4 linked regions of the Notamacropus eugenii genome follow. The protein of the gene in region 1 purifies or fractionates together with the protein of each later gene. This does not show direct contact. Links are inferred from orthologs where the notes say so. Each region holds a gene or a part of one and is shown in the gene's direction. Other genes may lie near its edges. The genes, in order: NOP56, NOP2, GNL3 and BRIX1.

Evidence for each region.
Region 2: the proteins of NOP56 (region 1) and NOP2 fractionate together in Homo sapiens (co-fractionation; 3 studies listed by BioGRID and IntAct, with this or other methods). This does not show direct contact. The link is inferred for Notamacropus eugenii from reciprocal best matches to the Homo sapiens genes NOP56 and NOP2.
Region 3: the proteins of NOP56 (region 1) and GNL3 purify together in Homo sapiens (affinity purification with mass spectrometry; 4 studies listed by BioGRID and IntAct, with this or other methods). This does not show direct contact. The link is inferred for Notamacropus eugenii from reciprocal best matches to the Homo sapiens genes NOP56 and GNL3.
Region 4: the proteins of NOP56 (region 1) and BRIX1 purify together in Homo sapiens (affinity purification with mass spectrometry; 3 studies listed by BioGRID and IntAct, with this or other methods). This does not show direct contact. The link is inferred for Notamacropus eugenii from reciprocal best matches to the Homo sapiens genes NOP56 and BRIX1.

Annotation. Positions count from the first base shown.
Region 1 is NC_092877.1:46,627,997-46,635,430, reverse strand, and holds the start of NOP56 (nucleolar protein 56), read left to right. Parts: upstream 1-4,427; 5' UTR 4,428-4,941; coding exon 4,942-4,944; intron 4,945-5,332; coding exon 5,333-5,422; intron 5,423-5,800; coding exon 5,801-5,915; intron 5,916-5,990; coding exon 5,991-6,152; intron 6,153-6,296; coding exon 6,297-6,495; intron 6,496-6,566; exon of another isoform or gene 6,567-6,705; intron 6,706-6,808; coding exon 6,809-6,996; intron 6,997-7,086; coding exon 7,087-7,238; intron 7,239-7,397; coding exon 7,398-7,434. UniProt on the Homo sapiens protein: Involved in the early to middle stages of 60S ribosomal subunit biogenesis. Required for the biogenesis of box C/D snoRNAs such U3, U8 and U14 snoRNAs. Part of the small subunit (SSU) processome, first precursor of the small eukaryotic ribosomal subunit.
Region 2 is NC_092874.1:194,961,421-194,969,311, reverse strand, and holds the start of NOP2 (28S rRNA (cytosine(4447)-C(5))-methyltransferase), read left to right. Parts: upstream 1-4,877; 5' UTR 4,878-4,913; exon of another isoform or gene 4,914-4,940; intron 4,941-7,891. UniProt on the Homo sapiens protein: S-adenosyl-L-methionine-dependent methyltransferase that specifically methylates the C(5) position of cytosine 4447 in 28S rRNA. Required for efficient rRNA processing and 60S ribosomal subunit biogenesis.
Region 3 is NC_092872.1:1,727,983-1,735,751, reverse strand, and holds the start of GNL3 (guanine nucleotide-binding protein-like 3), read left to right. Parts: upstream 1-4,759; 5' UTR 4,760-4,846; coding exon 4,847-4,859; intron 4,860-5,313; coding exon 5,314-5,372; intron 5,373-5,535; coding exon 5,536-5,673; intron 5,674-5,865; coding exon 5,866-5,976; intron 5,977-6,344; coding exon 6,345-6,428; intron 6,429-7,350; coding exon 7,351-7,486; intron 7,487-7,537; exon of another isoform or gene 7,538-7,614; intron 7,615-7,769. Other genes in the region: PBRM1 (protein polybromo-1), read right to left, coding at 2,340-2,387. UniProt on the Homo sapiens protein: May be required to maintain the proliferative capacity of stem cells. Stabilizes MDM2 by preventing its ubiquitination, and hence proteasomal degradation.
Region 4 is NC_092875.1:426,527,718-426,535,010, reverse strand, and holds the start of BRIX1 (ribosome biogenesis protein BRX1 homolog), read left to right. Parts: upstream 1-4,287; 5' UTR 4,288-4,338; coding exon 4,339-4,668; intron 4,669-7,293. Other genes in the region: cell cycle checkpoint protein RAD1, read right to left, coding at 568-676, 2,180-2,374. UniProt on the Homo sapiens protein: Required for biogenesis of the 60S ribosomal subunit.

The DNA of each region.
Region 1 (7,434 bases):
CTCTTTGTCATCACAAAAAGAGCTGCTAGAAATATTCTTGTACATATAGGACCTTTTCCTCTTTTATTAAAAGATCATTTTAGGGGTTAAGTCTATTAAAAATTAACAAGGGCTATTTTTACCATTGGGTTGCACTGATGAAGTTTAGTCAGCAGACTAATGTGCTTGATTTAAATAAAATCATGTAGCAATTGCACTTTGCAAATTGCATTTTAACCAGCAATTTTTTTCCTGCCAAAGGATTTAAGACCTTGGAGTGTATAACAAATCTGACCCATCTACTTCACCATTAAGATCCCCTTCAAAAGGCTTATAATGGTTGTGAGCTTTCCCCTGATAAGGCTAGGGGAAAGAGGGCCTTTACTTCTCAGGTCAGGGATTGAGAAAATGCCAGTTCCTTCTCAGTCCCTTTCATGATGTGGCTGTCCTTCCCATCTTATATAGTTTGTACTGTATAAATAATGGCTGAGGGAATGGATGATTCTTTGCAGATTAAGGAGACACTGCCCACGATTTCCAGTCTGTCTTCATATAATCTGTCCTATGGCAACCCTCCCTCAATTATTCTGGCTCTTTTGGCACATGCAGAGGTCATAGGATCCCAATATTATAGGCACCATAGCGGGAAAGGAATGATTTGGGGGCTTATGCTGTAATCCCTGGGGAGAAGGGGCCTACCTTCCTTGCTACCACTGACTAGTGACCAACTGTTACCAATGAGTGGGTAAGCCCAGGAACCCTAAGTCCTCCCCTAGAGCACTGATCCTGCTTCCCACCTGGCCGTGAAGCCATCCATCATCCTGGCAAACAATCCCTATAGAGGTAGGATGTGGTAAATGCTTCTGCCGCTTAAAGTCTGATCTGCGGCCCCTTCTACTAAACACCCAGAAAAGAAAGCTCTCAATACTAAAGTCCTTGACATTGTCAAGTTGTTCAAAATCAGAATACAGGGATGATTATATCCATTTAAATCCATTAAAGAAGATGCATTACCAACTTCTTTGCCAATGGACCTTTCTATAGGACCTGAACCAGAAGCTTCCATTAGAATGTGTGCTCCCTGGGAGCAGAAACTGTCTTTTCTATTTGTATCTCCAATGTTTTGCACACAATAAAACCTTAACAAATGCTTTATTATTAACCCATTCATTAGGTTATAGTGATCCTCGATGTCTACAATTTTAGTCATCTTTTCTTCCTGGGATCTTATATTTGGCCTTAAACCCCTGAGAAGCTGTGCAGAATGAGAGGTCTGCCTACCTCCCTTCCTGGGCAGCTTGGCTGTGTTGGTAGTAGTGTAATGGAAAGAACACTGATCCTGGTCAAGGGACCTGAATTTGAATCCAGATTCTGTTACTAACTGGGTGACTTATGGCATGTGAAGGGGTTAGACCAGATGACCTCTATGGTCCGTTCCAGGTCTAGATCTAGATACTAAATTCCACCTTTATTTACTATTTCGGTGATGCTGGTTAAGTCACTTTACCACTCCCTGTTGCTTCATCTATTCAAAAAAATGATAATAATGCTTATAATACCCATTTCATAGAGTTGTGGGGAAGAAAGTACTTTGCAAGCCTTAGGGACCTATAGAAATGGAAGCTGTTACTCTTACAGTCAGGCCCAGTTCTTCCTCTAAACATCACTGCCACATCTACTAAGTACTTCATGGACATTTCAAACTGAATATCTCCAATGTAATACATCCCAAACTGAACCTATTTCCCCTCTTCCAAACTTTCCTGTTTTTGTTGAAGGCATCACCATCCTCCCAGTCTCCCAGGTTCATAATCTCAGCATTATCCTCCACTTCTCAGACTCCCTTACCTCACATCCCAATCAGCTGCTAAATCTTGCCATCTTTTACATCCCAGCCCTTCTCTCTTCTCACATAGCCATCACCTTGGCTCACTCTCATCATCTCTTGTGTAGACTTTTGCAACAACCTCTCACAGTTTGGTCTCCCTGCTTCAAGACTCTCACTGTTACAGTCTATCCCACACAGCTGCCAAAGTGATTTTCTTTAAAGCTCAGACTTGATCATGTTACTCCCTTGTTTAACCAACTCCAGTTGCTCTCTACCACAATAACTAGTGTTTAACTATTTTTATTCTCCTTATATTTCTTCTGTATGTACTTTTAAATATTCTTATCTTCCCAATTAGACTGTATAAACATCTTTTTGTGTATGCACTGTTTCATTCTTTGTACTAGATTTACTGTGCACCTAGCCCAGTGCCTGGAACAAAGTAGGTGCTTAATAAATGCTTGGAGATTGACTGTTCCTGAGACATACATAAGTGGCTGCCCATCTGACGAACAGTGTAATTTCATCATTACTGAATTCTCACTTACATTAATAACCACCCTTCTATCCAAACAGTTTTACAACAGTCTTTTTCTAGAATTCAGCTGTTAGGCCTGACTTTTTAGGGCCCTACCTAAAGAGTTCATTATAACATGCTATCTGGTTACTAATAGGAAGGAAAGCATTAAACAGGGAGCTATGGCCTCATCAAAAGTATTTGCCATTGCCATGGAGGATGACTAGCACAGAATATAAATTGAAGAGGGTTTTCCATTACAGGATCATGGAGATAAAACTGAAAGAAACTTAGAAGTCATCTAATCCAACCTTGCCATTTTACAGATAAGAAAGCCAAGGCCAAAAATTACCCAAGAAGTAAGTATCAAAGTATAATAAGGCTTTCCAGATATTTCCATTTGCAAATAACATTGTGGATGAATAAAACTCTTGAACAGCAAAGAAACCTCCTAAATAAATAAGATCCATAATCAATCAAAAGTGAGGGATCATCCTTGCCTTCTCATTCTTAACTTCCCACATACGCAGTAAGTTATCTAATATCCAAATTTGTTGTTTCTCCTCAACATCCCTCCTATCTACAACCAATTAACGTGGAAAAAAATCTGTCCTATGTTCTATTTCATACTAATGGACAGCTCACCTCTGCATAGAAGCAGGTGTAGGTGATTTCTTCATACTGGCACAGAACAGCCATTACCCCAGTCCAGGACGGGGGAACCTGTGGCCTCCAGCCCTCAGCTGCCCCCGTCCAAGTCTGAACTATTGCAACATTCTCCAGCATGGCCTCTCTACCTCAAGTTCCTTTTCACTAGAATCATCTTCCATACACAAGCAAAGTCATTTTCCTAAAGCATATGCCTGACTCTGTCACCACTCTACTCAATACAGTGGCTCCCTATTACTTTTAGGATCAAATATAAACTCCTTTCAACATTACTCTTCTCCACACTCTCTGTGGTCCAGTAATTTAGGCCTTCTTGTTAAATAAGACACACACACACACACACACTCCACACCGGTACCCTTTCCCTCATCTCCCTTCTGCCCCTTTGCACTTTACATCCCTTTCTAACATGTTTTCTTTTCAACTCTGGCTCTTGGAAACCTTGGTTTCCTTTAAGACTCGTCTCCAGTACTAGTTTCTAACAGAAGATGTAACTGGTTCCCTCAGTTGCTGTGTCTTCCCCTCAAAGGTTAACCAGCATTTGCTTTGTATGTGTATGTAGTTGTACACTTTGCTTTTTATTTTTAAAAATCTTAATTTATTTTCATAAATTCCGGGAACAAAACAAACACTTCCATAACACGGTAAATAAAAAAGATGACTGCACATGAAACTGCAAATCTGCTTTGCTCTTGCCGCTAAACGTACAACAGTTCTCATATAAACAATTTTTTTTCCTTTCCTCCCTCATCAGGCGGTGGAGCCGAACCCCCAAAGCCCCAAGGCCACGTCCCTGGAGGTAGCCCAGCCCCGCCTCAGTAATTCCCTGGGTCGAGGACAGATGCAGGGGCGCCTGGCCCAAGGATTTCCGTCCCTGGCATGAGCCCCAAGGACCACGCTCGGGCATCGCTTCCGTCCTGTCCTTCGACACGGCGCTCTGAGGCCTGCCACCACGCGTGGCATTCCTTTTCCCACAGGATTCCTATCAGGCCGCACGTTCCCCAAAGGCACTTGGGCTTCTCTAAGACTCACAACACACCTTGGCCGCTCCTAGCCCTTATCTCCCCACCTGGGTAAGGCTGCCATCAGACACAAACACACTGCTTTTCCTTCTGGAAAGCAGGGGCTGTTTCGGTCCGGCCTTGGCACAAGCATCCCTGGCCTGGCACAGGAGGCGCTCAATAAATGGACCGTCCGGCTTGTGCTCCGCGGGGACCTGCCGCCACGTGTCCCGCGGCCACCGAGCGCGGGCTCGCTGGGCTGGGCCGGCAGCCCTGGGGAAACGGGGCCGTCCAGCGTCTCCCTGAGGCAAGTCTGGACAACGCTAGTGGGCAGAGCGACGTGGGAACACTACTGCAGGTCAGTCCCTGCCAGGCGGTGACCTTCGGAAGGAGGCGGGGAAAATATGCGACCGGAAACGGAAGCAGGCCGGCTATGCGTAAGGGGCGCGAGGGTAAACGTACGGACAGTTCACGCACGCCAACAGGTTATCGCGAGAACTGGAGTTAGACTTGCTCTGCCCCGTTCCTCCTTCCCGCGGTAAAGGCTGGTGGTGCTTGAGCCTGCGAGCATGGGTGTTGACCTCTCCCGTAGGTGGACGTGGCTCAGAGACCCATCAGTTATCTCATTTTCTAATACCTATTAGATTGATCGCAGCTACGCTCCCCCAAGGGCCGCTGGTCTGCGAAAGCTCCGCCCCACTCCCACCAGCGCCGCTGGAAAGGCGGGAAGCAGCGCGCACGCGGAGGCCGCGGTGGCGCCTATGACCCTTCCTTACTTCCGGGCGAGGCCATTTTCTTCAGTTTCCCCCTTGGTCTCCTTAATTAATGGTGCCTTCCTCGGGTTCTGAGTGGAGGCTTCCATCCGGAAGAGGCGGGGCTAGTGAGGCTAGGGTTCCTGCGTGTCCGGCGGGAGGCCCGCATTGCGATTGGGGCTTCAGACTGCCGCCATGGTGAGCTGGGTGGGGGCCATGGGGCAGGGGTCGAGGGTCGCCGTGCGGTGCAGCTGGGGGGTGGAGGGAGTCATCCGGCCGGTGGAACTAGAGCCTACTTAGCTATCACGGGTGTGAGGTGGGGAGCAGCCCGGCAGAGGCCAAGGGGCCGCCGAACCTTGGGCCGCGTGCGTGCGGCCTTTCTGTGGGCTGGGGCTGGGCGCTCCCCGCCGGACAGCAGGGCAGCGTAATGCTCGCGGAGCATGGGGCCCTGGGACCTCCCGGAGGGCCTTCGGGGATCGGCCTGTGGGAGCTGGGCGGGCAGCGGGGAGGTGGGCCATGTGCTCGGGCCGGGCCTGAGCAGGTGGGTTTCGCGAACCCCCTTCATTTCTCCCTGGGTCTCTCCTAGGTGCTGCTGCACGTGCTGTTCGAGCACGCCGCCGGCTACGCGTTGCTGGCGCTGAAGGAGGTGGAGGAGATTAGCCTGCTGCTGCCTCAGGTGAGGCCGGCGAGAGAAGCAGGGGCGGGCCGGGGTCCCCACCCCCAACCCAGCCCCGGGGCAGCAGCGGCCGCCGAGCTGTGATGAGCATTAAAATCTGTCAATCCCCTGAGCAGAGTGATGTCGCCTAGTCTCTGAGCACGGTGTCTGCCCCGGTCCGCGGGAGGGAAGGCCACGTGCTCAGCCTCGTCTTAGATCTAAAACCTAGCCTTTGTTTGCATTTCTTGGGGCGGAAAGGGGAAGCCAGCATGGAAAGGGAGCCGTGTGCCCCAGGGCGCACGTTTAGTATCCGCTTTTCCCTGGAAATGGGAAATCGGGCCTGCCCTTAACCCCGACCCCCCCAACTGTAGCGGCCCTACACACTCTTTCCCTCCACAGGTGGAGGCATGTGTGCTGAACATTGGGAAGTTTCACAGTATCGTCCGGCTTGTGGCCTTTTCCCCATTTAAGTCCGCCCACAGTGCTCTAGAGAATGCTAATGCAGTATCTGAAGGTGAGTGGTCTCACCTCTTTTCTGTGATCTTTTGTGTGTCCCCTGTGCCCTTCTAACCTATGCTCTTATCCACAGGCATTCTCCATGAGGACCTCCGGCTTTTCTTGGAAACCAACATGCCGGCTAAGAAGAAGAAAGCTTTGCTGGGTGTTGGGGATCCTAAGATTGGGGCTGCTATCCAAGAGGAATTGGGCTACCCCTGCCAGACAGGTGGTGTAGTGGCAGAAATCCTTAGAGGTAAGATTTCAGGTGAATCACGTGGAAGTCATGTGCCTTGATATGGTAGTTGATTGGGTACCAGATCCTATTCAGGTCCTGTGCTCTGAAGGACATTAAAAGGGTTCTGCTTGGTAGTTTCTTATTCTGCCTGTTTTCTCCCAGGAGTTCGTCTGCATTTTCATTCTCTGGTGAAAGGTCTGACTGAAGTTTCAGCTTCTAAAGCCCAACTGGGACTAGGGCACAGCTACTCTCGGGCCAAGGTCAAATTCAATGTGAATAGGGTGGACAACATGATCATCCAGTCTATCAGCCTTCTTGACCAGCTGGACAAAGACATAAACACCTTCTCTATGCGGGTCAGGTCAGCTCCAGGGTTTGGTGGGGCAGATGTTTAAGCAGGGGCTGGATTTTGGACTGTTCCTCCAGCCCTACCACCTCCTGTTGCTTACCACAGACTGTGTTGTACTTTGCACAGACTGTATAGAAAAAGGAGGCAGAGAGATCTTCCTCTTATACACCTCAGCCAGGAGCTTGCCTGTGCTCTAGCTGTATTGTGAAAGGGGAGACAGTAAAGACTTGGGAATCCAGAGTATTGGGTTTGGGGCTGTGGGTGAGGTGTGGTTTTTCTGGACTACTACCTTTTCTTTCTGTTTAAGATCATCTCTTTTTTTCAGGGAGTGGTATGGCTATCACTTTCCTGAGCTTGTAAAGATTGTTAGTGACAACGCCACATATTGTCGCCTGGCCCGGCTTATTGGCAATCGCAAAGAACTGAATGAGGAGAAACTAGAAGCTCTGCAGGAGCTGACAATGGATGAAGCCAAGGCCAGGGCCATCCTGGATGCATCTCGGTCTTCTATGGGTCAGTGTTTCTGGTTGAGGTCTTTGTGGGTCAATTGGGGGAGAAGAGGATATTCTGTTGTGCACTAATTTGCCTCCTTGTTTTTCCCAGGCATGGACATCTCTCCCATTGACCTGATCAATATTGAGAGTTTTTCAAGTCGAGTGGTATCTTTATCTGAGTATCGTCAGAGTTTGAACAAATATCTGAGCTCTAAGATGTTCCAGGTGGCCCCCAGCCTGTCAGCACTCATCGGGGAGTCGGTCAGTCATTGGGGTGTGTGCTAGGGGGGGACTATTGCCTTACAGCTATTGTCACTTTCGTAGCTCCACCTAGCTGCCTGTTTTCTCCTTGGAGTTAGAGTGGGTTTGGTGGGATCAAGAATACTCTTGACCACAACCTTTTTTTTTCTCCCCTTCCAGGTGGGTGCCCGACTGATTTCCCATGCTGGGAGCCTTA
Region 2 (7,891 bases), on another chromosome or scaffold:
TGTGAGAAAAGAAGGCAGAGAAGAGGAACCTGACAGCAAATGGCTTCTTTTTCTCAGTATTTGAGAAAAATTGGTTTCGCTGGCCCTGAGTGATCACGTCTCCCTGATTCAAGATGGCTGATATCCCCCCAACACCCCAGCTGAATCTTTTCCTCTTCAATCTTCTTTGCCAAAACATTCATCCTAGCATGAGACTCTTCCCTAGCAAAGTAACTACAGGCTTACACCATTGCCGCTTTTGTTGTCTGCAGTCTCAGCTCTGCTGGTGCCCTCATCATTACAGATAGAGATCTGAATTGATGCTTGACCCTCAGAGCCTTCTTCTGTTCACCTCTCTGGTAGCCAAAGCTTTATTTCCCCCTAACGTATCTTTGTCCACTTCCTGGGCACGCACGACAACTAACTGCCCTAGAAGTCTCTCAAGTTAAAATGAGAAGGGGGAGAAAGGAGGGAGGCACTCCCCAGCACAAATCTAACCCCTCTCTAGGGTCCACTAGGAACTTAACTCTTCCCACTTGAAATGTCTAAGACACACCTTCAGCAAGGGGAGGAGAGTCACCAGCCTTTTAGTGATCTGAAAAAGAAAACATTGCAGTGGTCCTTCCCTCAGTTCCCAAACCACTCTGAACTTTCCAGCAGATCAAAGTTCAGAATTAGGAGAACAGCTGTGGGTTCTCCTCTTATAATGTATCCTCATTATGTTTGTAGTTACAGTGATTTAAATAATTTAAATTTATTGAGTGATGCAATAATTCTTACAAAATTTTATATCTTTAATGTTTTTAATATAAAATATACCCTCTTTGGCTGCAATTATTTGTTTTAGATGTTTTTGGACTGAGTTCACAAGATATTGACACATTCTCTAATTTAACAGGAAGTCACACTTTTATCACACTGGATTTTAAGCATAACTTTAACAAATAGCTCATTTCCCCAAATCTAATCTTGATTACTGCTTATAGGGTTTTTTAAAATTTTATCTTCATCTCTGAATTCTCTCCCTCCTACACCCTGCCCCCCAATTCTTGCATTGATTGAAAAAGCAAGAAAAATAAAACCTGTCACAAACCATAGTCAAACTAATAAGTTTTCAATAAGTCAGTTCCAGGTCACTGAAACATGTTTATCTCTGTCTTAGATAAATCCTTATCCTTTTGTGACATATATACAAGGTAAGTTTTCCTAATACTTCTGGAACAATTCAGCTTCTCAGTATAATATAGTTGCCAGCATTCATCATTCCTACATTGGGGATAAGAATTTCACTCCTGATGAAGTAAAAAGATTTCCAAAATATTTTTTTGGAGGAATGGATGGTTTAACAGTTTGATGAAGATGCACGTGTTTTACAGGTTTATCTGGACTTCTGGTATAAAACTTTGAATGAAAAAGATGAGTTTCATAAGAAAAAAACATTACCTTTTCCTAATCTTCATCTGTCTTTGTATTATCTTGCCCACCATAAGCAGTTTTTAATTCATAACAATAATTAGCAACTTTTTTTTTTTTTGCTTTTCTTCCAACTTTCAAAAGCTTATGCCACGTTGTAAAGGAATCAGTAAAAGCTCCCAAACCCGGGGTTCTCTGAAGGTCTGTGCTTATCTTCTGGGAATTAATCAGGCTATTTTGTAGTAATATTTTGTCAGTTCTCTGTGTTGTTTTCCTCTTTTTTTTTTTTTAAACCAGTGCAACTGATCCTGTTTCATTGGGACAGCTAGGTGGTGCAGTGGATAGAGCACCAGTGCAGGAGTAGTTCAAATTTCACCTCAGACACTTGACACTCACTAGCTGTGTGACCTTGGGCAAGTCACTTAACCCCAACTGCCTCATCCTGGGTCATCTCCAGTCATCCTGATGAATATCTGGTCACTGGATTCAGATGGCTCTGGAGGAGAAGTGAGGCTGGTGACCTGCACAGCCCTCCCTCCCTTTAAACAAAGTCCAATGCAAGTCCTGTCACCATGTCTCTGATGGCCTGGACGAACACACACCACCCTGTTTCACTGGGACTTGAATGACCATTGAAACATGATTTCCCCACACAAATAGTGGCTGAGTACTTCTAAGAGTCACTGAAGCGTGCTTTTTAAGAACTACAACTTTTGCACGTTCTCACTGAAAACCACCACAACATAGAATCAAAAGCACAACGAGAGTCATGAATACGGGTATGGGGCACCAAATCCAGCACCCAACCCACGAGAAGTGGGGGGGGGGGGTCAACATCCGAAGCTGTTAAGTCAGCCTGGCGCAAATACGCAGCTCCACGGGTCGCAGGCCATATTACACCCTCCCAAGAGAACGGGAGCTCCTTAGGCGCAGGGCTAGTCTCTTTTGTCTTTAGACCACGACCAAGTATATACAGCCTTGAACGTGGGCCGAACTGAAATGAGGTCCTCGCCCTTTAACGCACCAACCCCCTCCACTTACCTTAGGAGGACTGCTTCATAATTCATGAGACGAAGATCCTCCTTCCCTCAACCAGAAGTCCCGCCCCCACGCGCCAAATGCCCCCTAGGGATAGTGAGTTCATTTCTGCCCTTACTTACCCCCGCTAGTTCCGGTTCACGTCACGTTCACCTCTGACCATTGAAATGTTGCCCTTCGACGAAGCCACTTCCGCCCTCATTCATCCCGACTTCCGCCTCGGGGGTGTCCGTCTCCCCAGGTGCCCGTACTACCAGAATCGCTCTAGTCGCTCCCGGAAGTGACTGGGCCTTTGCACCCTCCCCTCCTTCTCCTCCCACCCCAGTTCCCTCCTTTCCCCACCCCTCCTTCGTTTCCGGTGTTCCCGCCTTCTCGCCGCAGCGGCTCCTCTCCAGGCCTGTGGGGGGAGGGGGGAGGGAGGGGGGTGGGGAGGGGAGGAATCTGGGTTCTTCAGTGCAGGAGCGCCAGCAGCACTTCCGGGTGAGTGGAGAGGAGGGGGGGCGCCCAGTGCCTCGCGCCCCCGCCCTGCGGGTGTGTGGAGCGGGGCGTGTGTATGTGTGTGTGTGTGTGTGTGTGTGTGTGTGTGTGGTGTGTGTGTCCGTCCGTCCGTGAGTACACACGCCTCCGGGGTGGGGGGCAGGAGGGTCCGTCAGTCCGCCCAGCGCCCCGAGTGCGCGCGCTCTCTCGAGCTCCACTTCCCCTCATCCCATTTCCCTCCCCCCCACCCCTCTGCCTCCTCCCGGCAAAAGGCACGCGCCGCCCCCTCCCGAGCCGCTCTCTGACTCTCGCGCCGCCGCTGCTGCTGCTGCAGCCGCTGGAGCCGGGTGAGTCTCGCGGCGCCGCCGCCGCCGCTGCCGGCGCGCTCCGTGTGCCCTCCTCCCTGTCCCGAAGGGGGTGGGGGGGCTCTGTGTGTGCCTCTCCCCCCCTCCCGGAACCGGAAGTGGTTGTGGAGTAGCGGGCGCAGGGGTGGGGGGCGGGGGGAATGGTGGGAGTGGGGGTGTAGGGGGTGGGTTTCTGGTGGGTGTTGGAGCTGGGCTCTTGGAGGGGAGGGATCCGATGTCCCAGAAGGGCTCAGAGGAAGGGGGCGTGAGCAAGTGGGGGGAGACTCTTAGCTGCTGCCTAGGGGGAAGAAGGGGTGTAGCAGAGCAGAGGGGGCCCTGTGGGGGGGAGGGGCTGAGGTTGGAGCCGGAGGGGCTTCCTGGAATGGGGCCCTTGACAGATGAGGGGCAAAGTCCTCCCAGGGGCTTGGGGTGGGGGGGAATGGCCCGTGGGAGTGGCTAGGCCTGCACTAGGCATTCTGCCTCCTGGCACGAGAACTTGGGGAGCCCCCATCCTAGTTGTCCCCAGATTTGTCTTCTGTCCTCACAGGTGGGAGGTGACCAGACTGTCCCCTTTCCCCCTCCTTCCCAACCTCCTTTTTTCCTGGCTTCTGCCCCTTGGGTGCCTGTGAGAAGGAATTGAGTGTCCAAGCTTTGCTCTTGTGGGGTGCGTGTGTGGGGGTGCCTTTCACCTCATGCTGAAATGGTGAAGATAGTTCAACTTCTTTAGTAGGGATTAAATCCTTTTCCTAGTGACCAAATTCCTGTGCTTGTAACCTTCCCTCTCTTGGGTTAGAGGCAGGAATTTTGCTTTCCCTCCAGACTGACAGCTGACAGATTGGAAATCCTCAGAGGTCCCGACATCTCATTAATTACATCCTTTTTGACCATTCTAACACAGACACTTTGTTTTCAGAAAGTTCGGGAGCCTTGAGGAGGAGGAGGAGGAATAGGACAGAAGGAGGAGGAGAGAGAGGGTAAGAAACCTTTAACATAAAGAGGGGAAGAGAAGGTCATTTTACCCATATTGAATGTTTTTCTTTAGGTAACAAGTTAATAATGCCTTTTGTTGTTGCACGACACTTTATACGAAGTGTCCGCCTGTAGTAGATCAGTTTAGAACTTCCTCCAGTTTTGAAAATGGTATTCAGACTAGCTTTTGGAGATTCTCACTATGTTGGTCTGGGTGGCTCTTTTAGGCTGTTCATCAAGAGACTAGTTAGGGTTGGGAGCCCCAAGTTAAACCACCTCTGATAGTCACAGTGCCATTTAAAGAGATGCTATTTGTGTTCCCATGTGGCATTGCTCAGCAGTGATTTCCTGCTATTGGAGTGAGCACAGCTTAAAGTGAGCTTCTTTCCTTTGCTCTTAGGAGTGCGGAGGTTTAGGGTAAATCTTCTGATTGAGAGATTCTAGTAGTTAGTGTGTGTCACTAGAGAGTTTTAATTTGGGGACGCAGACAACATCAGATTCTGAGAGTTCAGAGTTGGGGCTCAGTTTGAAAGAAATTGAGAATTGAATTTGCTTGAGAGTTAGGTTTGGAATTTAATATAGAGCTAGCCAAAAAAAGATTCTTTCATAGTGAAAGAATTGTACGATTCTTTTTTATAATTGTTAGATTGTAAGACCGACAGGTAGAAAGAAGCAGTGTTCTGAGATACCTTGGTAGAGTAAGCTAGTGACTATTTTGTGGTAAAGCTAAACAAGACGTGTTTTTACAAACAGAAAGAAATTTGAATACATAGCATCCATTACTGTAAGGTAACTACTGTGAACTAAGTTTAGGGCAGTATGGAGTGAGCTTTTTTCTTTGCTCTTAGGAGTGTAGAGGTTTAGGGTAAATCTTCTGATTGAGAGATTCTAGTAACCCGTGTGTGTCACTAGAGAATTGTAATTTGGGGACCCAGGCAACATCAGATGCTGAGAGTTCAGAGTTGGGGCTCAGTAAGGCTTACTTTCCTTAGGACCCTGAGTTAACAATGACTTAAGTTTGGGCTTTGTCTCTGTCAGAGATAAGTTTTCTCCCCACGGCCATTACTGACCTGTTTTCTAGAGACCCCAGACTTTCCAGGACCCAATTTCCCTTTTCCATATGTGCCTTACCATTATTCTTAGTGAGAATGCCAGCACAAGGAGAAACTATTTTGAAAGATACCTCTACTAATTTAGAATCCTGAGGATGCTGGACCAGGAACTGCTATTCTAGATGGCAGGCTGTTTGTTGGGAATAGTCCTTTTGTTTTGTTTGGACATGAACAGTGGTTCCTGTTCAACAGAGTAGGGACAGTTTTTGAGACATACATGAAAAATTCCTTCAATTCCATTTGCTTATTTGACTGTTCTTTGTAGTTCCTTGTGTGCTTGATGGCACTGAACTGAAGTGTATAGGCAGAAGCTCAAGCCTTATTTCTCTCTGTATGACTTCTCAGTTTATGTGGTCTCTAGCCATTAGTCTTTTTATAGCCCCCCAAACTCACTTGGTTCTTACATTCCCATTAGTTCCCTCTATTGCTCTTCTGCTGGGGTGGGGAGAACAAAACCAAAAAACTTTTATCCTTGCTGACATATGTCTTAGCATCTTTTCTTCACAGGAGTTTTCCAAGCATGTTAAAGCCATATGTTGAAATAAGAAGGTATAAATCTAGAACTCAAAATTATTTTCTCATTCTCTTCTATCAAGTGGGCTGGGTTAAGGAAAATATTCCCCAATACTTAGCAGTGGACTTTGTCCATACCAGATGCTTAATAAGTGGTTGTTGAGTGGATTGATGAATAAGGGTTTCTTTCTAAAAACTATATAAAAGGATTGTGTCTTCTTTGGGAAAAGAAATTGAGACTCTAATAATGTGTGACTGTTATTTCTAGTGGGGAAATCAAGGGAGAGGGTCTCTCTACTTAGACTTTTGTGATAGGGTGATACTCTGGTGGCACTAGCATCATCATTTTATTTATCCCTTAGTAGCAGTATGGTAGGTTAGAATTCTGAGTTCTTGTTTGTGTGTGACCTCAGACAAATTACTTATCTCTCTGCTTCGATTTCCCCCACTTCTGAAGTGTAGTGTAAATTTCCCCAGATCCTTTGCTTCTGGATCTTTTGAGGATTAGTGAAGTAATATGTGTGTGTATGTAGCTCTTTGAGCCTTTTAAAAGAAAAATGCTGTTTAAATTCAAGGCTGTAGTAATGTTAAAATGTATAATTCTCTTCCTTCTTAATGATGATGTAGTTGATGCCTAAAGAGAGCCTTCTCCAAGGCCTTGCAATGAAGAATTTGTCAATAGATTCCAGATTTTCTGATTCCAAGCTTCTTAAAAGTCCTTAAAATTCATTTAGCATAGTAAGATGCTCAATACATATTAGTTGATTGATTGGTATAGTTTTGTACTGTCATCTCGCTTTGACGTTATAAGCTTCCCTGTGTCTCCCTGGACTAGTATAAGACCCTTAAGTTATTATTGACGACAATAGTACAGCAGAAGAGCCAACTTTCTTTGGTTTGGAGCCAACTATTTGTGGGTAGTTTAGGGGCTGTGTATCTTTTCCTCAGTATTGCATATTAGTATGTATCTTTGATATGACGGCTTTGAGAAGGATGGTGATGTGTAAGAGGTGGTGAGGTGGAATATAATAAGTAATAGGAGAAATAATATTGCATCTCTTGCTATGACTTTTGGGTGTTTTAAAGAGTGGTCTTTTCTGGTGAATCTGTCTTCAGCTTTCATTCCTCCTCTTTTTATTTATTCCTTTTCTTTTTATTTAGTGATTTTGTTGGTAAAACCAAAAAAAAAAACGTTAGAGGATTAGCACATTTGTCATCCTTTCCTCCCCCCTAAAAAAAATATTATTTGTGATCCTTAGATGCCTTTGCAGGGAGAAGATGGTGGTTTGCCTGAAAGCTGACCACCACTGGCAGTCTACCAGTCACCATTTCTTATCTTGTCCCCAGACCTTTTACAGGCTCATTCTTTCTTAAGAGTTAGAGAAGAAAACCAGGCAGATGAATATGTAGAAGTTCCTTTTTTCCATTATAGAATAAGGCTCCATCATTTTAAAATCCATTTACCTTGGTGGCCAAGACAGGATTTAAAAAAATAAGACAAGCTGCATTTACTCTCCAAAAGACTCGTTATGTCTCCACCTAGTAAATGAGAGTACCAGTGATACCACTAGAGAGCCATTCTCAGGGTTCAAAACTCCCTGAATTGGATTGAATTGTTTTTGTTGCTTTTGTTCATCTTCAGGCATCCCTCTCTTTAGGTCCCTCTGTCTTCTATTATAGTGTAGTGTTCTTGTCAATAAGGTATATCCCTATCTCCATTTCAAAAGAAATTAGAGCGTGCCTTGATTGCTTTTTTAGGATTTACAAAGTATTCCCTCATAACAACTCTTTGAGGTAGGTAGTACAAGTGTTAGTTTCCTCATTTTGCAGATGGGGAAACTGGAGATAATGATTTACCCATGGTCCTTCAGCAAAGAGTATAAATGGCATTTGAACCCTGGTCTCTTGGCTTCAAGTCCAGTCTTCTTTTGTATATTAGAGGAAAAATGTATAGTAAGTACAGTGAATCCCTTTTAGCTTCTTCAGACCTAACTTCTGATTCCTAGTAGCTATCAATAATTTTATTTCTATGCATTTTCCCTACCA
Region 3 (7,769 bases), on another chromosome or scaffold:
CTATAATAAAACAATTAGTAATGTTCTTATATTTAAATTGAGGACTTGGGAGCAAAGTCCTCTGGGGACCACTTGCTACCAAGCTTTTGATTCATTTAAGGCACATCATTGTAGTTGTAAAAAGTTTAGCAACACTCAAGTCATTTCAGTGCAAGGTGCTGGGCTATATGACTGAAAAGCTTCATTGCAAGAACAATGCTTTTAATTAAAGGCAACCTTCAGCTGCACATCAACTGCAGTGGGGCAGATACAGTAAAAGCTCATTAAGCTGGACTGATTCAACCAAGGCTAAGCTAAACCTTAGGCAAATGAACAGCACATCCATGACTACAGAGGACTAGGGAATATTTTGTCTACTTATTCTCAAATCCTTTAGCAACATTTACGTATTGTTCATTCAGGCAGGATCCACAGAAGTGCAGTTTGGCTTGCTCTTATTCATAGCTGGAACTATCAAAACTGTACCTCTTTAAAAAGTCTATAATTCAGACTGCCCTTCCTCACTGAGACCAAATTAGTAAGGTTTTACTGTATTCATGCATTCTGGAACTAAAGATTAAGGATCACTTGGCAGGAGGGTGAAACCCAGGAATACAACGCTTAGTCTACAGTGAGGAGTCCAGCACCGTGCAGCAGCCTTCCAAAAGATTTTAAAACCATTGTTCTCCTAGGAGATTAAAGATGGAGGCAACAATGTATCAAGAATGAAAGAGCAGATGGGCGGCCCAAGATGTTCAGAGGTGGCCTCTAGAATGTTCAGTGAAGGATTTATGGGGAGACATGGATAGGAATCACGTAGGATGAGACACAGGTATGGGACAGGTAGGTGGAGGGAATGGACACACATCTAGGCATCTCTCCCTATTATTTCCTTCTCTCTAAATAAAGTCAAACAAATGTTTCCACTGGTAACATTATCATGGTGCCAAAGCCATTATGGATAATATCTAGAAGGGAGGTATTATAAACTGTTCCTGAGATTCTAGAACACAAATACAGATCATGTTAAGAACAACTACGACTTGGTTGCTTAAAACAAAAGTCAATTGCTTATGAATCAAACAAAAGGCAGTGACATCTAGTCATGAACAGTTGAAGGTCAGTAACAGCTTGGTTGTTTTGGAGGCAGAAAACACCCTACTCTCAATATAAAACACTCTCCAAGACAACTAAGTCGTATGGCCCGCATTTAAACGGTAAACCATGCAGAGATTGTCTCAACTCCAAATTCCTCCTGATAACTGTATTCTTTTGCTATTTGCCTGCTGATGAGACTTTTACAGCCAGCAGCGTGCCCACCTAGAGCAATCTTCCAAAAGACCAAAGTACAAATGCTGTATTTCACAAATGTGTTACGTTATTATTGGTATTTATTAGGAAGTGAAAATATATTGGTCTTTTTTGACGTTAGGCCTTAGGAATGACCTTTGAGGGTCAACAGGTTTTATCAACTGTTTAATAACGGAAAATTCTAGTTAATGTTCATACTTGTAACAAATAACATGGTCATTTATTGTAATTTTTCACTCGACAGAAGAAACAGCATTTGAATTTCTACTTAACTTTCAGGGCTGTTGCTAGATACTCGTCTCTACCATGGGAGTTGTAATTACTAACTGCATCTCTGCTAAAGACAGATGAGACTGACAAATTTAAAAGGGGGGTGGAGGGAGGAAGTATTTCATATTTGCTTATTTAACTTAATTGGAAGATCCCAGTATCAACTGAGATTCCAAGGACCCTGCTCTAAAACTAAAGATTCTAGACCACTTATTCACGTTCCATTTTCCTGTGAAACTAGGAAAAGTCAGAACATAAGGAGAAACACCCTGGCTGCCAATAACATTGGGGAAAAGTGCTGTTAAAGTTTCTGCCAGGCTATAAGCCAAGCCTTCTACTGGGTTCTTATAGGGGCAGAAACAAATGATCAACTGAGGAAAATGGGGGATTCTCACAACTCTCCCCTGGAAGAATGTCTACACTTTGAGTTTTTAATGTTTATCTACTCAAAGTGATTTGTAAAGGTATTTTTTAAAAAATGACCCAATAGTACTGGTTCCTGTATAAACAGGTCTACGGTTAGGTGTGGAATGTTTAAATGGGGTAAAAGGTATTTCATATAAATAGGTCAGGAATATGAAGTTTAAAAAAATCGGATAAACTTTCAATATATCATAAAAATAATGAAATACTCTTGATGCAATCCAAAAACAGCAATCCCAGGAGTCCGATGAAGAGAAGAAAGGGCTCCTTAAAGGGTCGGCCCAAAGCCAGCAGTGAAGGGCGAGCAGGGGAAGACAGGAGAAAGGAAGCGGGTGGGTAAAGGACCAGAGATTTACCAGATTTACCAGAGTACAACCAGCGCCTCGAAAAGCCAGTCTCCTCATTGTGTCTGAAGGCCAGGGCAAGCTAGTGGGAGAAGGCAGAGCTTTACAAGCGCTGAGTCGGCAGAGCTGTTACTAGGCTCAGAACTGAAAAAGAACAGACAGAAAAGGGAAAATAAAAAGGAAGGGTCAGAGGAAGTAAAAGGAGCGAGAACAGACAGCAAGCACTGAAGCAGAACTGCTGAAGAGGGATGCCACGGAGAGCTGCACAAAGGAACACTAGTTAACACCTAGGGAACCGATTCCTGCCAAAAGGTTTCTTCACAGAGTAACGAGAAATCTTCAGTCACCGAGAGGTGCTTGGATCAACTTCGTTTCTTTAACCAACTGTCCGGCTACGGTTTTTAGGACATAACTAGGTAAGTCTATAGAAAATATGACTTGAGGCCTAAGTTTTAAAATACGGGGGGAAAGCCACTTGAGGACAACCTCCAAACTTCTACTTTCTGAGAGTACTTTCTGTAGGCACCTTCAAAAACCAGGAGTGTCCACGAAAAAGTACGTTTCTTGTTTAAAAAGTGGCTATTTACTTATGCAGCTTAAGAAAATGTGGAACCCTTCGCGGGTGCTGTTCCCACGGTGCCAAAGGGCAGTTTCTGGAGCTCGGTTCTGGACGTCCAAAAAGCCCGGGCCGCGGCCAGGAACTTGGGGGCTAAGAGGGAAGCGGGGTGCCGCCTGCCTGAGGGCCGGGCACCCCGGGGCGGGGGCCGGGGCGGGGGCAGGGGCAGGGGGCAGCGAGCCCGGGGCGGGGGGCAGGGGGCAGGGGGCAGGGGCCGGGGCAGCGAGCCCGGGGCGGGGGCAGCGAGCCCGGGGCGGGGGCCGGGGCCCGGAGCAGCGAGCCCGGGGCGGGGGGCAGGGGGCAGGGGCCCGGGGCAGCGAGCCCGGGGCGGGGGCCGGAGCCCGGGGCAGAGAGCCCGGGGCGGCCCAGCAGCCTGGGCACTCTCGCACTCGCCTGCACCGCTCCCACCACCGCAGCCCCCTCAGAGGCAGCAGCTCTACTTTAGACCCCTCAGAGCCCCTCCGCACACACCGCGCACCCCTCCGCACACAAGCACTTTCTTCACAAAACGAACCTCAAGATCGCGCCGACACCCTGCGGAGTCAGCCCGCGGGATTCCCAAGGGGACCCACGCAAGACAACCTGCCCCCCGGGGGCCCAGGCCCCGGTGCAGCGCGGGGCACCAAGCTGGACCGGGACGAGGCCTGGACCCCGCAGATGGAGGCCCCTCACCGTCCCGCACCTCTCGAGTCCCCCCGTCCCCCCGCAGCGCCCCTCCTTCCAACATCTTTCACCAGACCCCGCCGCGCGGGAAGCTCTGGGTTCAAATCCCGGGCGCCCTCCCGGACGCTCCCAGCACGGAGCCGGCCCTTCCCCTTAAAGCATTCTGGGGAGAGGACGGAGCAGCTCATTTCTGGGGATGCCGCAGGAGGGTCCCCCGCCGGGAAGCAGAGCTGGGGGGACACGGGACGCGGGAGGCGCCCCCCGCCCAGACCCCAGCCCGGCCCAGCCGCTCAGCAGGGGGGAGTCTCCGCCGCCGGTGGCGGGCTCTTTGGAACTCTCAACTTTCGCACCATTTGAGCTGCCTCGGTCCGGCCGGGTCCGGGGGGGCGGGGGGCTCCCCAGCCCCGGGATCCCCCCGGTGACATCCGGAGCGCCGGGGCCCCGAGGGCCCGGCCGGGCGGGACTCGTCCCCATTTCACAGAACCAGAAGCTGGAGGCGCCGGAGCCCGAGAGGGGGGCGTCGGGAAGAGTTAGGAAACTCAGGAATCTCGGGGGAAGGCGGGAAGGGGGCCCTCCCGAAGAGGGGGACCCCGAACCCGGCGGGGGTGGGGGAGGGGGGCCCTGTCCTCGGCGGGGCGCCTCGCAGGGCCGGGGGAGCGGGCGGCGGCGGGCGGCCCCCCGGCTTCGGCCGGGCTCCCCGTCCCCGGGGCCGCCACACAAAGGGGCCCGTCCGGGCGGCCGCGGCCTCCTCGGCGGCCGCCGCTTCCCCGGAGCCCCGGCCTTACCCAGCTGCTCCGCCGCCTGCAGCCCCTGCCGCGGTCCCCGACCGCCGGCGCCGCGCCCCGTCCCGTGGCCGCCACGGCTAGGCTGGCGCTGCCGCTGCTCGGCCCGCTCCTGCTCTCAGACCCTCTCGGCTCGGCTCCGACTCCCTCCTGGTGCCGCCGCCGCCGCCGCCGCAAAGCCAGCCGCACGGCCGCCAAGCGAGACCGGCCCCGCGCGACCGTGCGCGTGCGCGCGCCCTGGGGTGAGGGGGCAGGGCCGCGCCGGAGGGAGCGAAGGGCGCGGGGGCGCGAGCGCGAGCCCGGCCGGGTTCTGGCGCGGGGCGGGGCGGGCGGGCGGGGCGGACGCTGGGGCACGGGCGCGCTTTACGGCAGCGTCTGCACGTCGTGACGGCGCGGCGCCTCAGTCTGCACGTGGTGTGCGAGCCGGCCGGACGCGGAGCGGCTTCCTCCTCAGCGCCATGAAGCGGCCTAGTGAGTGTCCGTGGTCCGGGCGGGCGGCCTGCGGGGCCCGGGGCGGCCGGGGCGGGAGCGGCCTGCGAGGCGGGGTCGGGCGGCCTGCGGGGCGGGGGCGGCCTGGGCTGAGCTGAGCCGAGCCGAGCCGAGCCTCGGGGCCCCGGAGCGCTCGTCCCCGGCCGGCGGGCCTGGCGGGCGGGCTCCGGCGCTGGGCCGAGGCGCCCCTTGGGTTCGCCCTTCCCCCTTCTCGGTGGGTTTTCGGGCCCTGCGGCGTGGTCGGCCCGCCAGGCCGGGCAGCGCCCGCATCGAGCCACCCCCGCGCCACGCTCTCGTCTGCGGGCGCGGAGGGGCCGAAAGGCAGGGAAGTGAACGGTCCGGGCCGCGCGGTCAGGTCACGCCTTGGGCCTTGCCCCGGAGGTACGAGGGAGCACCGGCCCGGTTCTGACCCGGCTCTGAATTGTCTTGTTCCCAGAATTAAGAAAAGCGAGTAAGCGCATGACGTGCCGTAAGCGGTTTAAGATCCAGAGAAAGGTGGGTGTCGTGGTCCGCTCCGGGGGGCACTGATCACCCTGGGACGTGCCCGGCGCGGGGCGGTCCGGCCCGGTCTGGCCCGGTCCGGGTCGTTAAGTTGCTTTCGCCGAGCAGGCGGGACCTCGGGAATTTCCGAGCCCATCCCAACGACTTGTTGAAACAGGTGCGGGAGCATCACCGCAAAGCGCGGAAGGCGGCCCGGAAAGGGGGTGCCCGAAGGCCCAGGAAGGACCCCGGCGTGCCCGGCAGCGCCCCGTTCAAGGAGGCCCTGCTCCGCGAGGCTGCGCGCCGGAAGCAGCAGGTGAGGCGGGGGCGGGGGTGGGGGCAGGGGCAGGTGAGGCTGAGGCGGGGGGGGGGGGGGGGGGGGGGGGGGGCAGGTGAGGCGGGGGCGGGGGCAGGTGAGGCGGGGGCGGGGGCAGGTGAGGGGGGGGCGGGGGCGCGGTCCCGGGGGCGTCCCACCGCCCTGACTCGGTTCTTCTGGGCCTGAGAGCAGCTGGAAGAACTGAAGGAGAAGCAGAAGCTCAGCAAGCTGAAGGAGCAGAGGCAGAAGCGGAAAAGGGAGGACAGGGACGTTCCCTCTGCGGAGACCCAGCCCCCGGAAGCGGTAGGGTTGGCTTTGCTTTTGGGGGGCAGGGGTCAGTGCCCCCCCCCCCCCCCCCCGGGTTGTGGGTGCCCGGGCTGCACAGCGCTGCCCGCCCTTGGCCAATGCCAACTGACTTAGAGGGCCTCAGCCAAGGGTCTGCAGGAGACCTGGTGGGCAAGGATCGCCCAAGCCCAGATGACTCGGACAGGGACTCCTAGGGATGGAGACGTGTGGGGGGAAAGGCTAGTTTCTTACGGGGTTCACTGTGTTATTAGAGGAACGTGAACGTGCAAGAGTAAAAAATGGCCAGCCTTTTCATTGTGTTTTATTCCCTACGTCATTCTGTAAAATACTGATTTTTGTCCTGCTTTTCTCTCTGCATCATTTAGGAATTTGTGGGAAAAAAGGCAAAGCTGTCACGCAGAACAGTCAAGCAGGTTTCAAAAAAGCCATTTTGTAGAGAACTTCAAAAGGTACTTTTCCCAATAGGTGCCGGTTTTCTCTTAATATGTTAAAAGTGACTGTTAAAGGTTCCTAGGATCATACATGTCGCTGGAAGGGACGTTTGACTCACGCTTAATAGACTAGAGAGGCGCACTCCTTTCATGGGCCTGTGTCCTTGATTCCTAGAATGGGGCTGACATTTGTCCCTCTTGATCTTTGTAGAGGTTAAGTAAAGGAAGTAAGTTTAGTTTTTCCTTTCTAATTTATCTACCGTGTGGGTAGCTCTATAATATTTTGTTCTTCCCACTGAGATCAGGAGAAAAAAATCCTTCAATACCTGAGATCTTATTTCTAGGTTTTCCCCACTGAATAGCTGCTTTCTTGACTAATATTTAAAAAGATAAGATTCGTATTAACTTCTGTGATGTAGGAAAAGGTGAAAAGTTTTCACATTCATGATGGGATATCCAAATATTTGTAGTATGAATACATTCTTGACCTACCAATTAGGAGTCATCTTAAACAAATAGTCACGTCAGTAAGAGATGGAAAATTGAGATAACTGAAAATGCTGCTGTGATTTAGAAATGGTTAGAAGAGCAGCTCTCTATTCCTAAGCATATCATAGCCAATTTCTTGTTCAGAACCCATTTATTGAGTTGAAGTAGATTGGAAACTCAGTATGCATTAAAAGTCTGATGTGGCAGTCAAAAAAGATATGATTTTAGGCCATAGTAACATGAATAGAAAGATCTGGCTATATTCTACATTTAGTCTATGCCTGTAATATTTGGTTCTAGAGTCTCGTTTTAATAATAACATTTGTCAAACTGGGTCAACTGAAGGAAGGTGACGAGGTTGGTAGAGGAACTGGGAGTGATTCTGTTGAAAACAAAATTTGGACGTATTGTCCTCCAAGCATTTGTATGTTTCTAAACTTTGTTCCCATAGGTGATTGAGGCCTCAGATATTCTGCTGGAAGTTTTGGATGCCAGAGATCCCTTAGGATGTAGATGTCCCCAGGTGGAACAAGTCATTACAAAGACTGGAGGGAATAAAAAACTGTTGCTTGTCTTGAATAAAACAGGTAAGCCATAGATTGGCTCATTAATAGATGACCCTTATCTCTTCAAGATGTGAGGTATGAGGAAAATATCTATCAGTCTGGAAATACCATTGAAGACTGTAAGATCCAACTCTGACCTCAGCCTAGGCAAATGTTCATTCTTTCTAGTTGCCAAAGGTGATACCATCCAACATCGTGGTGATGTTTAGTTTTTGGCATTCTCTTAAGTATATGTTAGCCTGATTATTTTTTTTCCTCTGTAGATATGATCTCCTTGACTAGATAGATTGTCCAGGTCAGGGAT
Region 4 (7,293 bases), on another chromosome or scaffold:
AGTAATAACAATATTAAGCTGCTATGGAGCTAAAAAATTTACCTGCCCAGAGTCCAAAATAATCCTGAAGAGTTTTTGTGATTTTACATCTACATCAAATGAACTATATGATATTTTACATTTTTGCCATTTCTTTAAAATTCCAAAACTGAAGTGGAAGTTAATACTTTAAAATTCTGAGTGCAGGAAAATGTATTAAACTATTAAAAGGTTGCTTTAAAAAACAACCATAAGCATATTTAAAAATAATGTTAATAAGTCATTATAACAACAATGTAGCTAGAATTAAGCTATTCAAATAACTTCAAAAATTAAAAATCTGGGCCATTTTCAAGTCTTTTGGTTATTTCAGTTTTAATTCCCGAGTGATTAATATATTTAAAAAGATTGTAATTACCTCTGCAAATATGAAAAGGGTCATAAAAACACCTGGTATTTTTCAAAAACATTCTAAAATTTTAAAACGCACCACTGACTTCTGAGTAATGAATTCTCGTAATTCTAAATATCATTCCTGAATTGACGAGTTCTTCATATTGTTATATCACGACAGTAACAATGATATACCTGGTAAAGGAGTTGAACCAAAAATTGTCAAACAGTCTAGAAGGACTGTCAAATTGATTCGAAATGTTACAGATTCTTCCTGAACAATAAACTCTTGAAATATTTCAGCCTGTAAAAAAAAAGAGGTATATAAATAAATATAAGTATGGCCATTTATACTAATGAATTAAACTACTCTACATATAGTTCCAAAGATTTCACACTCCATGTATTTGAAAGTAGATCAGCTTGGCTGTGCCATTTACTACCTAGGAAAACTTCAGCAAGTCCCATTACCCTCTGGGCCTCAGTTTCCTCATCTGTAAAATTAGGGGGTTGTACTAAACTTACAAACAATTCTGATTCTTAAGTTGGCATTTATTAGGTCCCTGAATTCCAATACCCACCAAATTGCTGTATAAATTTAATTTCTGGGCTGCCAGGCAAAAAAGAACTCTCTTCTAGCTCACTTACACAAAAATGGTCCAACCAATGCTCTGGAGGCATCCACTCTCTCTGCAGAGCCCCTAAACACAAAGGAGGTAGCCTAGGCTACGAGTGACCTTCATCTGTAAAAATACATGATTAATTTCTGATTGCCAATATGCCACAAAACCTATTGTGAGAGTGAGGAGAAGTTTTCACACTAAGATACTGTTAATTGATGAAGTCATTGAGAATAAGTTAGATAATAAGGCCAGAAGACTGCAGGTGGACTCAACCAATCAAAAGAGAGACAGTGGCCTTTAGAAAATCAGTTTTTGATAAAGGAACCAAATCCACAGCTAGCTGAAAGTAGCCAAGAAAAATGACCTAGAGTTACCTGGAGAAGGTTTCCTTCACTGTGCTTGATTAATGAACCTCATGGATATAAGCAGACACAGCATAAAATTATCCCTCCATTTTCTAACATGGGTCCTATGTTAAAGCATGTTTGGGAGGGGGAATCACACTAAGGGGGCTTACATAATGAGCATGTAGAGAAGATGGTGACTTAATGGAGAATGGACCAATCCATCTCCTGGTGGGAGGATCTGTCTTGAACTAACAGTATATGGCTCATCTCACTTCTGTATTCAGCACTCTCTCCTCCTGAAAAGAAGGCGGGGTGCTTTGGTCAAAGTGTTCAATTCCTCTGAACTCTACTGTAATAAATTTTCCTTGATACCTTTTTAGTGTCAAGAGTGTTTCTAACACCTATCACAAGCAAAATTTCTATAAAACAAAGATACCTAAGCTTTATCTAAAAACCAGATATTTCAAAAAGTGTTACAATCAACAATACAGGATAGGGAAAGAACTTGGACAATCCTTTCAGCTAATTTTAAATTTCGATCTGTGAATATTATGTAGGATTCCTACAACACTGGTGCTAGAAGGGATCTAAGAAGTCATGTAGTCCAATACCCTCATTTTGTAGACCACAGATGAGAAGCTAGAAGGGACCCCGAAGGTCATCAGACCCAAACCTCTTATTTTGAAGATGAATAAACTAAAGCACAGAGAGATAAAAGGACTTGCTTGTGACTTCTGACTCCCAACTTCAGTGCTCTTTCCCTAGTACCAATTTAACAGATTACCCATTCACAACAGATGAAGAATGAATAGTGTAAGAGTATGCTTGCCCTCGTACCTGAATGAATGCATTTGCTTGCAGACACTTTGCATTTTCCACTGTAACCTTGATTCCATTTGTTGTTGCAAAACAGGTAGCATGGTCTTTAAAATGAATAGCTTTTAATATGTTTGAGAGATTCCTTACATTGTCAAGGCTGGCAACTAAAATATATTGATCGCTTCCATCTTCAGTCTGTGTGGTAAGTGGCATTTTCTATTCCACATAAGTTTCCTTCCACTGGGTTTTCCTAATTTAAACTGGAATTAATCAGCTGTCTGCCTTGGTAACCTATAACAAAAATAAAATCTAATTTGAGTTCAGTGACTCCAGAAAAGAATTGCTTCAGTTGTATCCCCCTCCAAAAATGTTTTTTTTTTTTTTGCCAACCAATTTTGTTTTCTTAGCAAAATGTATAAGCACAACTGTTTACCTCTCACTCCACCCCCTCCAACTGCAGGAGAAAAAAAAATGTGTAATGGAAACATTACTAAATTAGAAATCAAGAGGCCTGGACTAAAGTGTGAGTTGTGCTATTAAAGGACTTGTGAAGTTGGGAGTCACTTCTCTGAGGATGTTTCCTGAAAAATGCCCTAACTGACTCCCATAGGGCTGTTCTAAGAATAAAATAATATATTCACATTGTAAAACATTTTCACATGATTTCACAATCACAACTTGGATTTTTTTTTTGGGTGGGGGGGGGTGCCAGACCTGTGAATTCATTAGTTTGAAAAAGTCCTGGTGCAGAAACTCACTCTAGAGATGCAGACAGACAAGTAGTCTACAATTTATAATTGTAAAAAGCTGCTTGGAGCACTGAAAAGTGAAGTGACTTGCCCAGGTTACTTGGCAGATGTGTTTCTAAGGGAGGACTTGAATCCAGGTCTTTCAGATTTCCAAATTTAGTTCTCTATCCACTACTCCAAAGTATCTGATGATAGTATAAATTTTATACAAAACATTAAGTCAGGGGAAGTGACTTGTCCCAAACTACATCTCAGCTGAGTCAAAGCCAGGATCTAGGCAAGTTCTCCCCATTCCCCGTGAAAGGAACATGGGGTTTAGAGCTGGAGTGATTCCCAGAGATCGTTCAGAATAAACACCGTATTTTACAGATAAAGCGGAGGTTGCGCAGTGTAGCTAAAACAAGTCACTTAATCTTTGTCTGCTTCAGTTTCCTCATATAAAATGAGGGTCTCCTCATATAAAATATGTATCCTCGTATAAAACGAGAATAAAAATAAATGAGAAAACAAAAAAGAGAGTATAAATATAATAAAAATATAATATGAAAATAAATGAGAAAAAATAAAAATGAGGATATAAATGTAATGAAAATAAACATAATGTAAAAATAAATGAGAAAATAAAATAAAAATGAGTCCGAATACAATAAAAATATGATATAAAATAAAATGGGAATAAAAACACGTCCCAGGGTAGGGGGAGGACCAGAGGCGACGCTTCTAAACCGCTTCGCCCGTTACTACCGTTATTATCTTTGTAACAGGCCCAGAGAGGTTCGCCGGTTAAAAAGCTGGCACACCAAGGATCCGAACTCAGATCCAAGCTCTTCCCCAGTATTCACGTGGCGCTCCCAACGGAGCACAGCGCTAGGGCGGGTAAAAGGTTCTGTCTGTCTACACCGCCCCGACCCAGGGAGGAGACGGAACACACCGGGGGGGTCCTCCGGCTCCTCGCTTCTTCCTTTCCGGCGCGGCTCAGGGGTCCCCTCCTACGGAAGCTTTTCCGGATCCCTCCCGGTGCTGGGTGCTCCCTTCTCCTCCTCCCTTTCTCTCGTATCGACTCATCTAAGCGTTATTTCCACCTCCGGCTCCTCCGGGGCAATGGCTGTTTGTCTCCGCGGCCCCACTCCTAGCTCAGTGCCTCACTAGCCCAAATATCCGTGGGTAGGAATAAATTCCCAGTCCCGTACGATCCTCGCAGCGTTCCGAGAAGCCTCGGCTCCCCTCCGCCCCTCCAGTGCAGGCCGGCCTCAGGTGTACCGTTTTTCCCGCCCCCAAGGCCGGAAGGAAGCCCCACTTCCGGCTTCCGAGGCGGACGGGAAGTGTCGGAGTCTTGGCTTGGTTCTACTGCGCTTGCCCAGACCCCACGACTACACAGTGCGACAGCCGTAAAGGAAAACCGGGGTTGGGTTGAGCTACGGAGGAAGCATGTGCTTCCACCCCGCCCCCTTCCCCGCCCTCTGCCCCGCCCCCTGCCCTGCCCCCAAACGCTTTTGGTACCATAGAGACGGGAAAGAGGAGAGAGAGGCAAGGCGGCAAGGAGTGGAAGGCGAAATGAACAACGTGCGACCGCCGGAAGAAGGGGGTCTGGGCAAGATGGCGGCCGTCAAGAGGAAGCGGCATGGAGGAGGGGGTCCCGAGGCGAAGAGGCCTAAAGGAAAAGGAAAAAAGGCCGGAGCGCCGGCCAAACAGCCCCCTCCAGCCCCAAAAAAGGCAGAGGAAGAGGAGGAGTACCGCATCCCGGGCCCCGTTTCCAAGGTACGAGCGGCAGCTGAGGGTCTCGCGTGGGAGCGTGGGCCCCCGCGTGACCCCAACCCGGTGTTCTCCCCGCCAGGGTGCGGCGGCCTGGCGATACTCGGCGCGGTGCAGCCCTCGGCCCCCCTGTCCGCTGTCAGGCCGGGCTCGCGGCGGCCCGCGCACGTGGTTGTCGCTTGGGAGCGCAGGCCGAAGGGCCTGTCAAGTCAGCCTGCACTTATTAAGCGCCTACTGCATGCCAGGCGTTGTCCTAAGCATGTTTGTTTTAAACAGTCCCTGCGCAAGGAGTTCAGTCCACACGAGTTCAGACAACGTACGAACAGCTAGGTGCCACGGCCTACAAAAGAGCTGGATTGGGGAGGGGCGTGGGGGGGCACGAAGGTGTGTGGGCATCCCTGCCCCTTGTGTCCGGGCTGTTGTTAACCCCAGTTCTCCGCTGAAGAAGCGGGGGCACCCCGAGAGGAAGGGGCTTGCCCAGGGTGGCACAGCTAGCGTCCGAGGCAGGATTTGAACTTAGGTCTTCCCGCCTCTGACAGGGCTCTTCCCTGCCCTGACGGGTTGTAGGCAGAGGAACGTTGGGGTTTGTTTAAGGTGGTTCTGTTACTGGACCACGTCTTACTGGACCACCGCTGAGGTTCGAGCTTGACGGAGGTTCTGGAGAAATTCCAAAATAAGTCAGGATTTCTGCTGTGCGTCTTCCTTCGGGGCCTCCTGGGCCCTAGATGTTGTGCTCGGGCTTAGGGATTTTAAACATCCATCCAGAAATTCACGGTCACGGAGGACGAAAGGGCAGCTGACATCCGGGAGTCGTGAAAGGTCCGCTGTGGCCCGTGAGCTGGACCTCCAGGGGAGCCAGATGCGGCCAGGGTTTGTGGAAAGGGCAGAGCATGTGAGAGGGGGACGCTGCAGTGTGGACCATTGGGGGTGAATGGGTCTGGAGAGAGAGAGTGGAGCTAGTGTGCAGCTCACTTAAATGGTCAGATGTGCTGCGAGTGCAGAGGAAGAGGAGGGGGAGAGGCCTTTTAAATTGGCCTTGAAAGGGTGTTGGGATTTCTGTAGGGGAAGAAGAACAACTTCAGTTGGAGAAGGTGACTGACAGGAACAAATGTGTCAGAGTGGCACAAGTGCCATGTGTGTTTTTTGGGGAAAAATAGAGTTCAGATTGGAAAGAGTGAGGAGTTCATGGTGGAGAGTTGAATTAGGAAAGGGAGGATGCAGTTAGACTGTCAGGAGTTAAGGGGCTTGGTAAACGATGAAGCACCAGGGGAGTGATGTGGCCAAAGAAGAACTTTGGGAAAATTAATCTGGCCATGGTGTTTTGATATATTGAAGAGCTGGAGCTCTGGAGGCAGTGTGAACAGTTAGGAGATTATTGACCTCATCTGGGTGTTGACACTGAGAATAAAAAGGAAGATATGGAGATGAAGGAAAAAATGGGCAGTTTGGATGTGGGGGCTTACAGAGTAAGAGAATTTCCTAAGATTTAGTGCCAGAAATGTATGGTAACATACCCAAAAGAGTCTGAGGAGAAATTTGTTTGAGGGAATAGAAATGAGGTGCATTAGTTTGAGGTATAACAGGCAGAAATATAAGAAGTTGGAGAGACTGGAGATTTAGTTATCCATCTACAAGCATTTATTAAGTTTCTCCTATCTTTGAGGCACTATTTTAGGCATGGGGTACAAAGACAAAATAGTACTTGCCATCATGAAGCTTATATTCTATTTGAGAAGACTGTGTATACAAAATAGATATGGGGAGGAGAACTAGCAGCTGGAGAGATCAGGAAAGAATGTAGAAAGTGGCACTTGCTCCAAGTTTTGTAGGCAACAAGCTGTCAAGAGGCTGTTGGACTCGAAGACTTGTTCTAAGGTCTCTTCCAGTTTTAAATCTGTGATTTCAGGAGGACGTAAGAAGGTGTTTAGAACAGCCATTGCAAAGGTACTGAGTTGAGAAGTGGAGTGTTGGCCTCCATCAGCTTGGTTGTGTGATGCTGCATATCTCCAGTCTTCAGCATATGAACAGGAGTGGAAGCAAGTGGCAGATGATGAAAATAATCCATGGATAGGTTTGGTAAGCCATGAGGATTGATAGGGTCAGGGGTCAAGGAACAGTATAATGCTGAACTGGCCAACTATAAAGTGGAGATTGGGAAGGGGCAATAAAGTGGAGCCAAAGCAGAAAATCAGAGTTAGATAGCTTGAGAAAGTATCGAGGGTTGGGATCAGAAGGCACAGGGATGATAATTAGTAGGTTTAGCAGAGGTAAGGGAAAGATGAAATTAGAAGAGGTTAATCTGATAAAAGGGATTTTGGAGTTTTTGATTCTGAATGGTGGTAGTTGAAACTATATGCTTGGAAGAATATCTTTCAAGTCTTCTATCACCAGTTACCTGTGAAGATATCTCCAGGTGGATAACCTGTAGACAATTCAAATATAAAACAGAGCTCATCTTTCTCTGCAAATCTGCTCCTCTTACTAACTTACCTGTTTCTTTTTAGGGTCCTGCTTCTGGTCTTTCAGGTCTGCATCCTTTTTCTCCATTTTTTTCTCACCCCTCATGAAATTCATTTGGCAAGTCTTGCTGATTCTGTGTCTACAGTATTTATTGTAGCCATCCCCTTCTCC